3 linked regions of the Kluyveromyces lactis genome follow. The protein of the gene in region 3 purifies or fractionates together with the protein of the main gene of each other region. This does not show direct contact. Links are inferred from orthologs where the notes say so. Each region holds a gene or a part of one and is shown on either strand. Other genes may lie near its edges.

Evidence for each region.
Region 1: the proteins of PUF3 (region 3) and HRR25 purify together in Saccharomyces cerevisiae (affinity purification with mass spectrometry; 4 studies listed by BioGRID, with this or other methods). This does not show direct contact. The link is inferred for Kluyveromyces lactis from reciprocal best matches to the Saccharomyces cerevisiae genes PUF3 and HRR25.
Region 2: the proteins of PUF3 (region 3) and ARP2 purify together in Saccharomyces cerevisiae (affinity purification with western blotting; 3 studies listed by BioGRID, with this or other methods). This does not show direct contact. The link is inferred for Kluyveromyces lactis from reciprocal best matches to the Saccharomyces cerevisiae genes PUF3 and ARP2.

What each region holds. Positions count from the first base shown.
Region 1 is NC_006040.1:264,557-268,386, reverse strand, and holds HRR25 (serine/threonine protein kinase HRR25), read right to left. Parts: upstream 2,627-3,830; coding exon 1,109-2,626; downstream 1-1,108. Other genes in the region: cAMP-dependent protein kinase catalytic subunit TPK2, read right to left, coding at 1-454; NPY1 (NAD(+) diphosphatase), read left to right, coding at 3,417-3,830. UniProt on the Saccharomyces cerevisiae protein: Protein kinase which phosphorylates serine and threonine residues. Can use casein as a substrate. Phosphorylates elongator complex member ELP1/IKI3 on 'Ser-1198' and 'Ser-1202' which promotes the tRNA modification function of the complex.
Region 2 is NC_006039.1:350,664-354,281, forward strand, and holds ARP2 (actin-related protein 2), read right to left. Parts: upstream 2,285-3,618; coding exon 1,109-2,284; downstream 1-1,108. Other genes in the region: serine/threonine/tyrosine protein kinase MPS1, read left to right, coding at 1-905; MRX9 (Mrx9p), read right to left, coding at 2,722-3,618. UniProt on the Saccharomyces cerevisiae protein: Functions as ATP-binding component of the Arp2/3 complex which is involved in regulation of actin polymerization and together with an activating nucleation-promoting factor (NPF) mediates the formation of branched actin networks.
Region 3 is NC_006042.1:1,429,096-1,435,030, forward strand, and holds PUF3 (mRNA-binding protein PUF3), read right to left. Parts: upstream 2,821-5,935; coding exon 28-2,820; downstream 1-27. Other genes in the region: IZH3 (Izh3p), read left to right, coding at 4,399-5,935. UniProt on the Saccharomyces cerevisiae protein: RNA-binding protein involved in post-transcriptional regulation. Negatively regulates expression of COX17 by binding to the 3'-UTR of COX17 mRNA. Promotes decay of COX17 mRNA by enhancing its rate of deadenylation and subsequent turnover.

The DNA.
Region 1 (3,830 bases), on a different chromosome or scaffold from region 3:
TGAGCAACGAGAACAATTCACCACCTTCGATATAATCCATAACCATGAATAGATTACGAGAATCCTGGAACGTACCCCACATCCGAATTAAGAAAGGATGTTCAACCAGCTTTAACATCCGTCTTTCATCATTCGTATGCTCAATTTGCTTCATTCGAATGATTTGATGTTTTTTCAAAACTTTGATGGCATAGTAACGTCCATTGTGCACACTCCTCACGAGATGCACTCTACCGAATGACCCTGTTCCCAATGTACGCATGATTTGAAAATCATGCAACGTATATTTCCCCTTAGACACAGTAGACCTTTGAGGCAACAACGATTCCTTCTGCTGAGCCAATAAATAATCGGTAGATTGTGAACCCACGGTCACATCCGCCGGATTCACAGGATTGGTTGCAGGAGCTGGAGCAGTATTCATCTGTTGTAAATTCACAGGCTGATATTCCATCCTCTTGTTTTCCTTTTCCCTTGGGGTCAAAATCCCCTAGTTTACTCTAATGAATAAACAGTACAAAATGGGACAAACCAGTTTTTGCCTTAATTATAGCTTTGGACTGATAGTCTTATATGGATATTGCACTTTTTCAAGACTCAATGCGCCCTAGATTGCTCTCTTTTTCTCACCACAGTTGACTCTCCTTTTGTTGTTAGTTTTCCTTTGGTCTAGTTTTTCACAATTCACTGTTCATGTGAGGAACAGAAACCCTTTTTCGATATTTAGTAGTGGAATTCGTATATTGCGATAATGGCCTTGCCAAGGATGAGGAGGGAAACTTCAGCAGCAGCAACAATGAGCTGTGAACTGCGAGTACCGTAAACCTGTGTCAGCTGCCGATTCAGTAACCAGCTTACTTTCATGGTTGCTCATGTTGGTGAGAAAATCCCTGTGTGTGTTCTCCCCCATGTTCCACTATTCAAGTACATATAAGAAAGAAATATAAGTGTGAATTAGGTAACAGATTTCCGAGTTATAATTTATAACCAATGTGGGTTAGAAGCCCATGATTAACTGATGATGAGTTGTATATATGTATGAGCGTGTGTGATTTTTTCTACTCTACAGATTTTGCAACTGTTTGCGCATTGTTTTCGTCTTTTGCGTTTAAAGCCAGATATTATTGGTAGTGGTAGTTTTGGTGGTGTTATTAGGGTTTGGTAGTGGGTTGGTGATAGCCATTGCATTTGGATGCGTTTGTTGTTGTGTTTGCAGTTGCTGTTGCAGAAGCTGTTGTTGCTGCTGTTGTTGCTGCTGTTGTTGTTGTTGTTGTTGTTGCTGTTGTAACATCTGTTCTTGTTGACCTTGAACTTGTGCCCTTTGCTGTTGTAGTAACGTGGTAGGTTGAGGTAACTGTGTATCTAGTTGCTGACCTGATTGTGGTTGTCCTTGTCCCTGAGTTTGTCCTTGTCCCTGAGTTTGTCCTTGTGGTTGTCCTTGTTGTGGTTGAGACGCCACCTGTTGGTTCACTTCGTGCTTCAACTGTTCCATGTTTCTGTCGATAGCATTCATGACTTCATCTGGGATCGTGGAGATAACTTGGGTGTTTAGGATAGTCTGTTGTTTTATGTCTTCAGCAGTTGGATGAGAAGTATCATCTGGTTTCCAATAGTGGAAATGTGTTGAAAATTTCTTCATAGCCAATTGTTTCACTTTATCAAATGAATCCTGTTTATTACCATTTTCATCTTTTTGTTCCAATGCTTGGGCGCCTCCTTGTTTGTCGATCATGGCTTTTGTGTAACGCAACATGGTCCAATCAAACAAATGATCATTATGGTATTCCAACTTGATGAACAAATCCTTGAACAAACGAGCCAAATACATATAATCTGGTCTTTCATCGAATCTGAGGTTCCTACAATATCTCATGTATTCAACAAATTCCATAGGTAAACCTTGACATAGTTGTTCGACGGTGATGCACAATTTCTTTTCCATGATACGGTCGTATTTTTGTCTTTTTGTCGTGGCTCTGAGCCCCTGCCATGGTAAGGACCCTTTGCAGAAATATATCAACACGTAACCCAAACTCTCCAAATCGTCACGTCTACTTTGTTCGATCCCAAGATGCGTATTGACACTGGCATAACGTGCAGTACCAGTAAGGTTCTTATTTTCTCGGTATGGGATATGGTTATGACTTCTAAAATCTCTATACTTCTTGGATAAACCAAAATCAATAACATGCACGGTGGATCCACGTCTTCCGACACCCATCAAGAAATTGTCCGGTTTAATATCTCTATGAATGAAAGATCTGCCATGAATGTATTGGATTCGACAGATCATCTGCAGAGCAAGCATGATTACGGTCTTAAAAGAAAATTTCCTATGACAATAGTTAAATAAATCTTCCAAAGACGGACCCAAAAGATCGATCACCATAGCATTGTATTCACCTTCCTTCCCAAACCATCTGATGAATGGTATTCCAATACCGCCGCTCAAATACTTATAAACTCGAGACTCATAGTCTAATTGAGGATGCTTCGTACGAATCGGCTCCAACTTAATAGCGACTTCTTCACCACTAATCAAATTAGTCCCATGATAAATGTCCCCAAAGGAACCAGAGCCAATCTTCCGCCCAATCCTGAACTTTCTACCAACTCTTAAATCCATCTTTCTTTTTCGTTCCTTATGTCTGTCTTCTCCTGTTCACGTCTTACCTTCAATATTTCTAATCAAATGAAAGTATATATACCGCAGAACCTCAAAATAAGTCTTTATATCCACGTTCTCATGTACAAGCTCAAATACCAGAAATATCAAGTAAGATATTTTTATCCTATAATCAAACTCAACTGGAAACAAACGTACAGTGAGATATGTCAGTTGCTTGTTGCTTTATTGCTTCTCAACTTCACAAAATTGAGAGGGAAATTCTGCAACTAAACCTGAAGTTCTGAAATGAAAAAAAAAAAAAAATAAACCAAAACAGAGACCAAAAAAAAGGTCAAATTCCTAAGTATATAGTTGGGGAAAGATGGACGTTTTGAAACTATACTTTGATATCTGAGTTTCCGTATCAGTTAACCTGTGTTATGACACCAAATGGCCCACTAAATTCTCCGTCTAATGCTCTAACTCCACCAATGAAATATCAAACATGGTGATTAATTGTGGTTAAGTTGATTTCAATTTCAATTTTTGGTACAAAAAATAATAGTGTTTCTTTTTTCTACGAAGGGGATAGTAGAAACTTATGATCACGTGATATATGGTAGGGTAATTTCCAAAGCATGGTTTGCAGTCACATCCACATAATGACCGGGAACAGTTGGATTTATACGTGTATATTCAGTGCACAACCTAGTCGCATTGTCGTTTTGATCGCTGGAGAGGTTGTTGTACTTGGAGTTCGATCAATTTAGTACCCGTATAGTGTGGTTAGCCTGATAGCGCAGTACATATGGAAAGAAGTGTAACCTTTTTCGGATTGGAAACTATCAATAGAGTGTCATTCCTAAGGGACGACGAGGTTTTCATCAAGCAAGCGTTCGAACATGGAAGTACTCAGTTTGTACCGTTTATCAATGGGGCAGCATTCGCAACTGAGACTAGTGACAAGTCTGGTACCAATTTATTAATGTTAGGACATCAAGGTTGTCCTAACTACTCGGAATGGCCAGGCTTACTAAACAAGATAAGATCTGTCATGGATACCGAGAGAGGATGGTTAGTTGAATCCGGGTTCACAATAACGTTTTTAGGGTTGATGGATGGTGACAGCAGTTTTTCTTACAAGGAGTACACCGGTACCCCATTGTTTGCCATGGATTTGCGGCCAGCGTCCGATACTCTAGTTCAAAAGTCGGAGACAAAG
Region 2 (3,618 bases), on a different chromosome or scaffold from region 3:
ATCACAAGGTATACGCGTTGAAACGCGTGTCTTTCGATGAATTTGATGAGTCCAGTATTGATGGCTTCAAAGGGGAAATAGAGCTTCTAAAGAAACTAGAAAACAAGCAGCGAGTTGTTAAGTTAATTGACTATCATATGGGACAAGGTGTCTTATTTCTCCTAATGGAATGTGGTGAACATGATCTATCCCAAGTATTGACTCAGAGATCCAAAATACCATTTGATACGGAATTTGTCAGATATCACTTTCAAGAAATGATAAAATGTGTGAAGGTGGTTCACGATGCTGATATTGTCCATTCTGATTTGAAACCCGCAAATTTTGTTTTCGTCAAGGGAATGTTAAAGATAATTGATTTTGGGATTGCGAATGCGGTTCCCGATCACACTGTAAATATTTATCGAGACAACCAGATCGGAACTCCCAATTATATGGCTCCCGAGACTTTGGTTGCAATGAACTTCACAAGGAATGATGGTGAACAAGCCAAATGGAAAGTGGGTAAACCATCAGATGTTTGGTCCTGTGGATGTATCCTCTACCAAATGGTGTACGGAAAACCGCCTTATGGTACGTTCCAGGGAAACAATAGGTTATATGCGATCATGAATCCTGATGTTAAGATTCCTTATCCTGAAAAAGACTCTTTCGGTACAGTGATACCAAGAACTGTTATTGACACTATAAGATCATGTTTGGAAAGAAATCCCATATCTCGTGTTACAATTGACCAGCTATTAAGTGGTGCATTAATTAATCCTGTCACCGTAACAAAATTCTTCATACATGATTTGATAAAAAATGCAGTAAACTATGGTTGCGATCAAAAACATGTCAATAATGAGCGTGTGGAAGAATTATCTGAAGATGTTTGGAACAAACTAGCTGAATTTAAATTATAGATTAATCTATTGCACTGAGGGCAGTACTGGGATAAAGCACTTCTGACATGCCGTCTTTATGGCTTTTTTTCCTGCATTGAATAAAGAAGCAACATATGAATGCTGTGCTCCCATAAGAAGCCAGCAAATGAACCTATGGGTGCATTAATAAGTTTACCTACGTAATACAAATGTACTATTATATAAGAGTTTTAATCATTCATTTATCTTGGTCCAAACTTTGACATTGCAGCAGGACCTATTTCATGCCATTCTTGCTTCGATAACCACATGTGGTCTTTATCGGCCATAATGTTCGCTAAGACGGCACCACCAATGAACACCATATGCTTTCTTCTTGGTGGGTCCTCAATTCTGACCTTGAATTTATCCAAACGTGTGGGATCATTGCGTAGAACCCTTGTAAACCATAGTTGTTTTAGTTCTTTTTCCAACCTTGAAGGTAAACCTGGGTACATGGATGAACCACCAGACAAGACGATAGCTTTATAAAGTGATGTTCTGATATCCACATCTGCTGCTTGTATTGTGTTGAATAAAAGTTCACCCACACCTGGTTGTTCGACATCAACTAAACTTGGTTGGAATAAACACTCTGGTGCCTCGAATCTTTCCGGTCCAACCTTGATGACTCTCCCATCGGGTAATTCATAAGATTCCACTAGAGTAGTCGTCTCTCTTGCTAATTTTGTGTCCAAGTCTAGATCATAAGATACATAACAAAGCTTTTCTTTAATTTGACGAACAGTTTCGAAATCGGCAGTTCTGTTGAATGCATAACCGCGGCGAGACAAAAGGTCAATTAAGTGTCTGGTTACATCTCTCCCAGCAACGTCTAACCTTCTTGTCAAATGATTCAAAACAACGGATTCATAAACAGGAACAATGTGAGTAACACCATCACCGGAATCAACAACGACACCCGACGACAAACCTTGAGCATATAGAGCTAGAACGGCTTGAATTGCAACGTATGTGCCACCAAAATCATACTTCTCGAACATAACTTCACACATTTGTTCTCTGTTTTTAATGGGGTTCATTGGTGGTTCGGTAAGTAGTACCTTACCGCCGGATGTAGTTGGCAATTTCATCTGCTCAAAGAAAGCATAATCCCATAGTAATTCCATATCTGCCCAGTTTCTGATGATACCATTTTCCATTGGGTACGAAATCTGTAAATATGAACGAACTTCACTTGCTTCATCACCAATCATGATATCTTTCAATGGGGTAGAAGCATGACCTCTTTCTTCAGCTCTAAGAATCGGTCTACCTACGATGGATGGGAAGGTGTAATCTGGGAAGTTCTCACCAGCACGGCCAATTTTCACGAAACCAGTACCCTGATCAAGAACAATTGGAGTATGTGGGTCCATTTTCGCTTTATTAATGGGTTGAAGATGCTCACAAATGTCCGTTTGATTTAATTACCCCAGTTCCACTATTAAATCTGATGAAATAAACCTTTATTTCCTCTCTTTCTTTAAGAACATCTCCTATTTCCCAATGTTGTTGATGTCGTTTTTCACGTAAATCATGTGATCATGTTTGTCCATATAGAATTTATCCAGGAGGTATAAAGCTATTGGCACGTCACAAGATAGCCGCTAAATCGTTGGATTTACATGTAAAGCATGTTTTCATATGGTTCAAATGAATCTTATAGTTTGCTTGGATATGTGTTATATGATCTTTTTTATTTCATTGATGAATATGTATAAATTGTGACGGTTTGTGTCAACTTAAATAGATTTTGTGAAGTGATGATTCTTAATAATGTCATGTCAGTACCTAGGTGAGGGCGTTAGTTCTTTTAATCACTTTCGTACGTGTATTCTTTACTGCCGTCCTTTTTTCGTTTTACACTATATTGTGCATTTGCTCCAGTTTCTCCGACGTCTGTAATGAAGCAACATTTCGAAAATGGGCTGAGAGCACGTACATAGATGACCATCGGGGATAACTTAGAATCATCAATGTAGTCACCAGTGAACATCAACAATTCGTCCCCTGGGTTTGCCTTTGTAACGATGTAAACCAATGCAACTGGTTTACGGACTCCCTCAGAACCCATGTTCAATAGCATAAATGAAAAAGCTTGGATGTTTTCGTTATTTCTGACGCTGGAAACAAAAGAGTACGAGTTTGTTACTAACTCCATGTGTCCTGGAACATAAGCTGTATCACTTCCTAAAACTATGGATTTGATGTTGTGTTCGTTTTTATAGAAACTCTCATCTAATCTCGATTTCACAAAGGAAAGAAATCTGTCTGCGTTGGGAAATTCTCCCGATTGAAACTTATCTGTAAATGCTTGAGAGAGCTTGAAGGGGAATCCGCTGAAGTCCTTTAGCTGGGTAAATGACTTGAATTTTGGGACCATTTGCTTCATTATCAATTCTCTCCTTGTGGTGGATGAAAGCTTCATCTTAGTTTGATTGAAAGCATGATCCAAAAGCTGCATAAGTTTCCTGGTTCTAAAAGCTTTGAATTGATACCACCCTATTCCAAATATCACCATCGGGAAAAGCAAAGCAAGTAAGAAAGGCAAAACAAATACTATCATTGTTATGAATCCAGCGAACAGTAACGTGGAAAGAATAAAGGAAAAAGGGCTGATTGAAAAGATAAATCTGGGATTGTTAAAGGGACTTTTTCTGAAAGGATCCCGTCCACCAAGTACCATGTTTCTCGGCGTAGAATGGAAATT
Region 3 (5,935 bases):
CTTTCCCAAGTTGAGGCTGACATACATCTATATCTGAATTTTTTCCACCAAAGTTGCTAACTTTTCAACACTAGCCAAATGCCTGTTACCCAAAGTGTTATTTTTATTGGATTTATCCAAATAGGATCTGATGGAAATAACAATCAACCTCTCATCTTCACCAGTTGCGACACCCACGAGCTTTTGAACAACGTAGTTCGCGTATTGATCCCGCATCATTAGAATCAATGGTGCATTATCTTCCAAATCAGCGGCGTGCTCTTCGTCTCTTGGTAGAATTTGATCCAAAATCTGTCTTATCTGGTTTTTGGATCCGTAAACTACTGACTTTTCAACAACATTGGAGGCAAATTTGTGTTTTGAATATTCAACAACATTCTTACGAATGATATCGATGATATTTTGTTTACTCATTCCTATGTGACTGCTCGTATCTTCAGTTCCATGCTGTAAAATATGCTGAATTACGTAGTTACCGTATTGATCCTGGATCAAGAATGGGATGAATTCATCCAAGTCATTCAAAATATCATCTTGGTCCTTTAGAGTTCCAAATTCCAATAGTCTTTGAACTACACGGCAACCGTAAGAATGCGTTGATAAATGATAGATTTGTCCTCTTAAACTTTGGAGAATAAATGGTAATTTTTCAATCGGAATACACTCGATGGCTTTTTGTATAACATGGTTACCATTCTGGTCTTTGATCATAGCTAAAACACAATGGGAAAGTTCAGATACGAGATCAACCTTTTGATCTTCATTTAGGAATTCAAATGCCTTTTGTATAACACGGCAAGCATACATTTCTAACGACAAGTTCTCCATTTTGCCTCTGAATTGATCCACTAATACCTCCCTTTGTGTTTTTGTACCATGTTCAAAGAATTTTTGAATGACATAGTTACCGAACACGTCATGAGATAATGGTATACATTGGTCTCTAATCTCATTGAAGATTACTTCCTTATCAGCATCAGAAGCTGTTGCCAATTCCTGTTGGATAAATCTGGAACCATGTTGATCTTTACAGAACTCTAAAGCGGAGCCGTAAATATCGCTAAGTTTGTAAACTTTATTGGAAGAATTGTTCCTGAATTCCTCCAATAATGGGGATCTAACGATAGGCTGTTTGTTATTCTGGCGAGCATTTTTACCTTGGCGACCCTGTTTGTTTGCACCTGAACCTGAAGAACTTTGCAAAGTGTTTGGGGGCACTGCCATACCTGCCCTACTTGGTGGCGGAGAGAATTGTGAATATTGAGCCTTACCTGCGTGCAGGTATGGATTTGATTTATTTTTGCCAGAGTATTTAGAATCGTTATTTCTCTTGTTAGAACCGGAACCATTGTCTGCGGATGGAGGGGAGCTTGGAGCGTCTTGTAAGTTACCTGGACGTGGTTGCATAGATGGAGGCATGAACATGTAAGGATTTGGTGGCAAGAAAGTAGGGCTCAAAGGAGGTTTAACAGTTTCACTATCCTTATTATTTTCTGTGTCATCTTCTTTGATTGGAGCATACATGAAAGGATATGGACTGGGGAATGGATAAGGAGCCATTGGATGTGGCATCATCGTTGGATGATTACCTGTTTCACCTGATGTCTCTGATAATTCGGACTCGTGTTGGTTCTTTCTAGAAGCGGAAGCCTCTTTGGTAACACCATCAGTAGTCTCGACATCTTGACTGTTATCGTTGGATCCATTCATACCTGGGAATGGTTGTGGTGGTGGAGACAGCACAGGAGGTAAAAACATGGGCATTCCAAATTGATTAAACCCAGGATAACCATAGTTGAAAGGAGCTGCCTGCTGATTAGCAAACGAGGCAGGGTCATTTGGATCAATGTCCTGGTCACTTGGAAAAGGAGCAGTTTTGCCGTCCTTAGAACGACGGTAAGAGAATTGAGGCTGGAATTGAGGCTGACGTTGATGCAGTGGAGATTGCTGCTGCTGCTGTTGTTGTTGGTAGTGGTATTGTTGTTGCATGTGTTCGGCATTCTGAGGTCTGAATACGGGTGCAGCAGCCACGTTCCAAATGGTAGTAGAATTAGGCTCATTATTTTGCATCGATAAACTTTCACTAACGGAGTCCAACACTTCAGAGGTATCCGACATTCTTCTTGCACCATGCAGCGTCGTATTAGATCCGACTCTCGATAAATGCTCCAAGCCTGTGGTTGCAGATGCTCTTCTCGAGCCAGTACCAGCGTGATTCGAACTCGAAGGAGGCCCACCAACGTTAACACTACCCACACCCACATTCAATTCCACTTCACGAGTACCCTCAGCTAAGGCACGACCAAACCTTTCGAAAAATCCAGATGTAACTGAACTATTATTGACACCGATCGAATTAGAATTAGTCACGCTTCCGTTGTAACTGTTCAAGTTCGGATTATTATTATTTTGGAATTGAGCTGTCAGACCACCAGCGATACTGGCAGAGTAATGGTTCATGGCATTCAATCTATTCTGAGCGTGGGACGAAGAGTTCTCAGGCAGAGACATCCCGCCTACAGACAGAGTAGTTCTCCTCAACATGGGAGAATTCTGTGTATTGAAAAAGATCTCTGAGTCCACATCGCTTCCCGTATTACTATTGAAAGAGGCCCTTCTGAACCCACCAATCTGTTGCTGCTGCTGCGCCTGTACTTGCTGCTGTTGAACCTGCTGCTGTGCTTGTTGCTGTACATTCGGATTTGACAGTGCCGAAAGCGACGAGACTATTGATGCTAATTCAGAATCAATCTGGGTATTATTATCCTTATCGTCAGAAACAGCGGTATTCCAGCCGTTCAGTTGCTCTGAAAGTGACATCTTAACAAGATTTGAGTACTCTAAACCACTGACAACTAACTTGGGAACCGCAAATACCAATATAAAGTAAAAATGCGAAGATCAACGACAATGTAGTATTAACAAAAATTGAGGAACGACAAAGGGAACTCTGGTCCCAAGAAACAAAACAAAGAAAAATGGGGGAAAAAAAAAGTGATACACTAAATGCAGTTCACCCAAGCCTAAGGTACCTGGAGAGTAAAGCTGTAACAAAGGACAAACTCAGAAAAGACTATATATGCCGCGAACTGGAGTGTCCTTTACTCCAGAGTACTTTAATATCCAATGGATAGTTTCAATATCCATAAAAACGTAAATTAAACAAAATATGAAAAGTTCAAAATGTTGATAATCGATAATTCCAGGTTTTCTCATGAAAAGACAATGAAAGCCAGAAGACGAATCCCTCGACGGTTATGTTCCGTTCTTGCAGGGCATAGTTCGACAGGGGAACCAGTTCGGAAAAACCAGAAAAATTAAATCATGTCCGGGTAGTAGTTTTTAAAAGGTCGCCCGTTCGAGTCCCCTATGTTCTCGAATTTTAGTAAAAAAAAAGTATAAATTTATAGGAGTTTCATGATAGGCATTATTTCGAGAACCCGGTCTAGATTGAGACCAAAAGAAATGAAACTAAAAGGAAGGTAAAGGGAAACGAAAAGAAAGAGGAATAACATGTCAGTTCTTCTCCATGTATTCTAGGTCATTAGTTAAGCCTTTTTTTATTTCCTTTTTATGGCTGAGTAGACTGAACTGGACTGGACCGGCTACAAAATGGGAACGCGGAGGAGGGTAACATGGCAGTGCGTGTCCCACGCACTTGCAAACTCACCCAAACTGATCCCTGAGTCCATCCATACTATCTGTCCCTCCACATTTTTGTTTCGGAAAAGATCGGCCAGAGATCTTGTTTCTTGTCCTAGGAGAATAAGAAGAAAAAAGACCAATATTCTGGCCTGGCTAGAATATGATGGGTGTACGACACGTTCTTATTGTTACGAGTAGCGTATTATGAATTAAGTAATAAGAGAAGACGGTGAATGGAACAAACTGAATACATGCCGTGTTCTTGTTCGAAGAATATCCGAGTGAACCGTGATTGTATAATAGAGACGGCCGGAAACATGTGTAGTATCTGTGAATGAGATTTTTGAAATTTTCGGTTAATTCGAAATTTGAAATTTGATGTGATATCAATTCCATATGCTTTATATAACAAGATGAATTTATATATTCCGCAGTATGAGCTGGTTTGAAAGGGAAACTACTACTGCAAGACATATCACAAGTTTCAATACTATTCCATACCATACCAAACGTCCTTTTTCAAGACTAGGATATTCACCGTTAAACTATACACATTTCCGTCTACTGAATCCAGATCCTTTTTCTTTTTTTTCCATTTTAGTTTGAGCTAAATTATACTTCGTCTTTGGGTATATATTACAAGAGACAAGAACACCATCACATTCCTTTCTATTTGTATTAGTTAACTCCTTCACCCTGTTATTGCCAGGCTCAGTTTCGCTCTTTTTTTCATTCAGGTAGCTCCGATACATCATGTCAAAGTCTGAAGATTTTATTATGGAATATACCTCGGAAAATGTCACTGGAGTTGACAACGAGTTCAGTCTCAGTTCCGAAGATGAATACGTCGCGCTAACAAGACTTGCACGGTTCATCAAATCAGCAAATCAGAAACTAGAGAAATTGGAGTCCGTGCTTCCTTCAACTTCTGTCGCTACGACGACAAGTTTGCCCAGACAAGGGTTTAACAAGTTAAGACAAAGAGGCCGTAAATTTTTGAGATGGAACAACAAGCCTGTCGAGGCTGAGAAAGAGGTTTCATATCAAGATTTCATCAACAATCCAGACGCACCAGCGTTTTATAGGTTTTTGAAACGTACCACGGAAGAGTTAACAGCTGTTTTGCCTGAGAATGACACTGAAACTATGATTGCTGAAGAGTTCGAAAGAAGTTTGAACAGGTCTTCAATCACTTCTCCGTTGTTAAAATTCTCACAGATTTACGATGATCATTTCACTTCGTTTGCTTCTAGCTCTACGACTCTTCACTCCTCGACAAAGGATTCTACCAGATCATCATCACAAACTTCATCGAAAATGCCTCGGTTTGACGATAGCATAAGTCATAGTGCTCTTTCGTCTTCACACTCTAACAGTTCAGATGATAACTGTCAAGACAACTCTCGCTACGATTCACATAACGTCTCCTCGTTCTCAATCAACAAATTAAAGCTGGACCGTAGTGAAATGTGTGAACTGGAAACTATCGACGATAAATGCGTCGACATTGATACCCAACAAGTGATCCAAACGCTAGATTTCCTCGACGAACATCTCGACTTGTTCATTGAAGATCCTCACTCAATTAAGAAAACAATACAGTTCTATAACTGGGATAACGCATGCGATCTAGGTCGCCAAAGGCATTTGCATTTCTACGAATTACCATTCCCATGGAGAGAAAACAGGTACATCATCCACGGTTACCGATTTTATGATTCTCATGTAAAATCTGTATTATCGGTCGTCAACTGGTATGGCTGGCATAATGAAACACTAAACATTTGGTCCCATTTGTTCGGTGCAGTTTATTTAGCATACCTTTTGTTCATCCAGTTACCAACCACTAAAGTATTCATGTCCCAAGATGTACCTTTATTTGGTAAACTCATAATCCAAGTTTTTTTGATTGCAGGTGTAAAGTGTTTACTATCATCCTCTGTATGGCATACGCTTAATGGGACTTGCTGTCTACCACTGAGATGTAAATTCGCATGTATTGATTACACTGGCATCACGGTGTTGATCACGGCTTCCATTCTATCGACAGAGTTTGTGTCAGTTTATAACCTTGCTACCCAATCATTATCCACCTCAATGACGGTATATATGTCACTGTCGCTTTGCTTAGGTATTTTCGGCTCCTTCATGAACTGGTCCCCCAGATTCGATAGACCTGAATCCAGGCCGTTCAGGATTGCCTTCTATGTTCTATTAGCTGGTCTAGGTATGATCTCGTTTCTCCATCTCACGATTAGTCGTGGTATTGACCACTCATCTCAATTTTTCA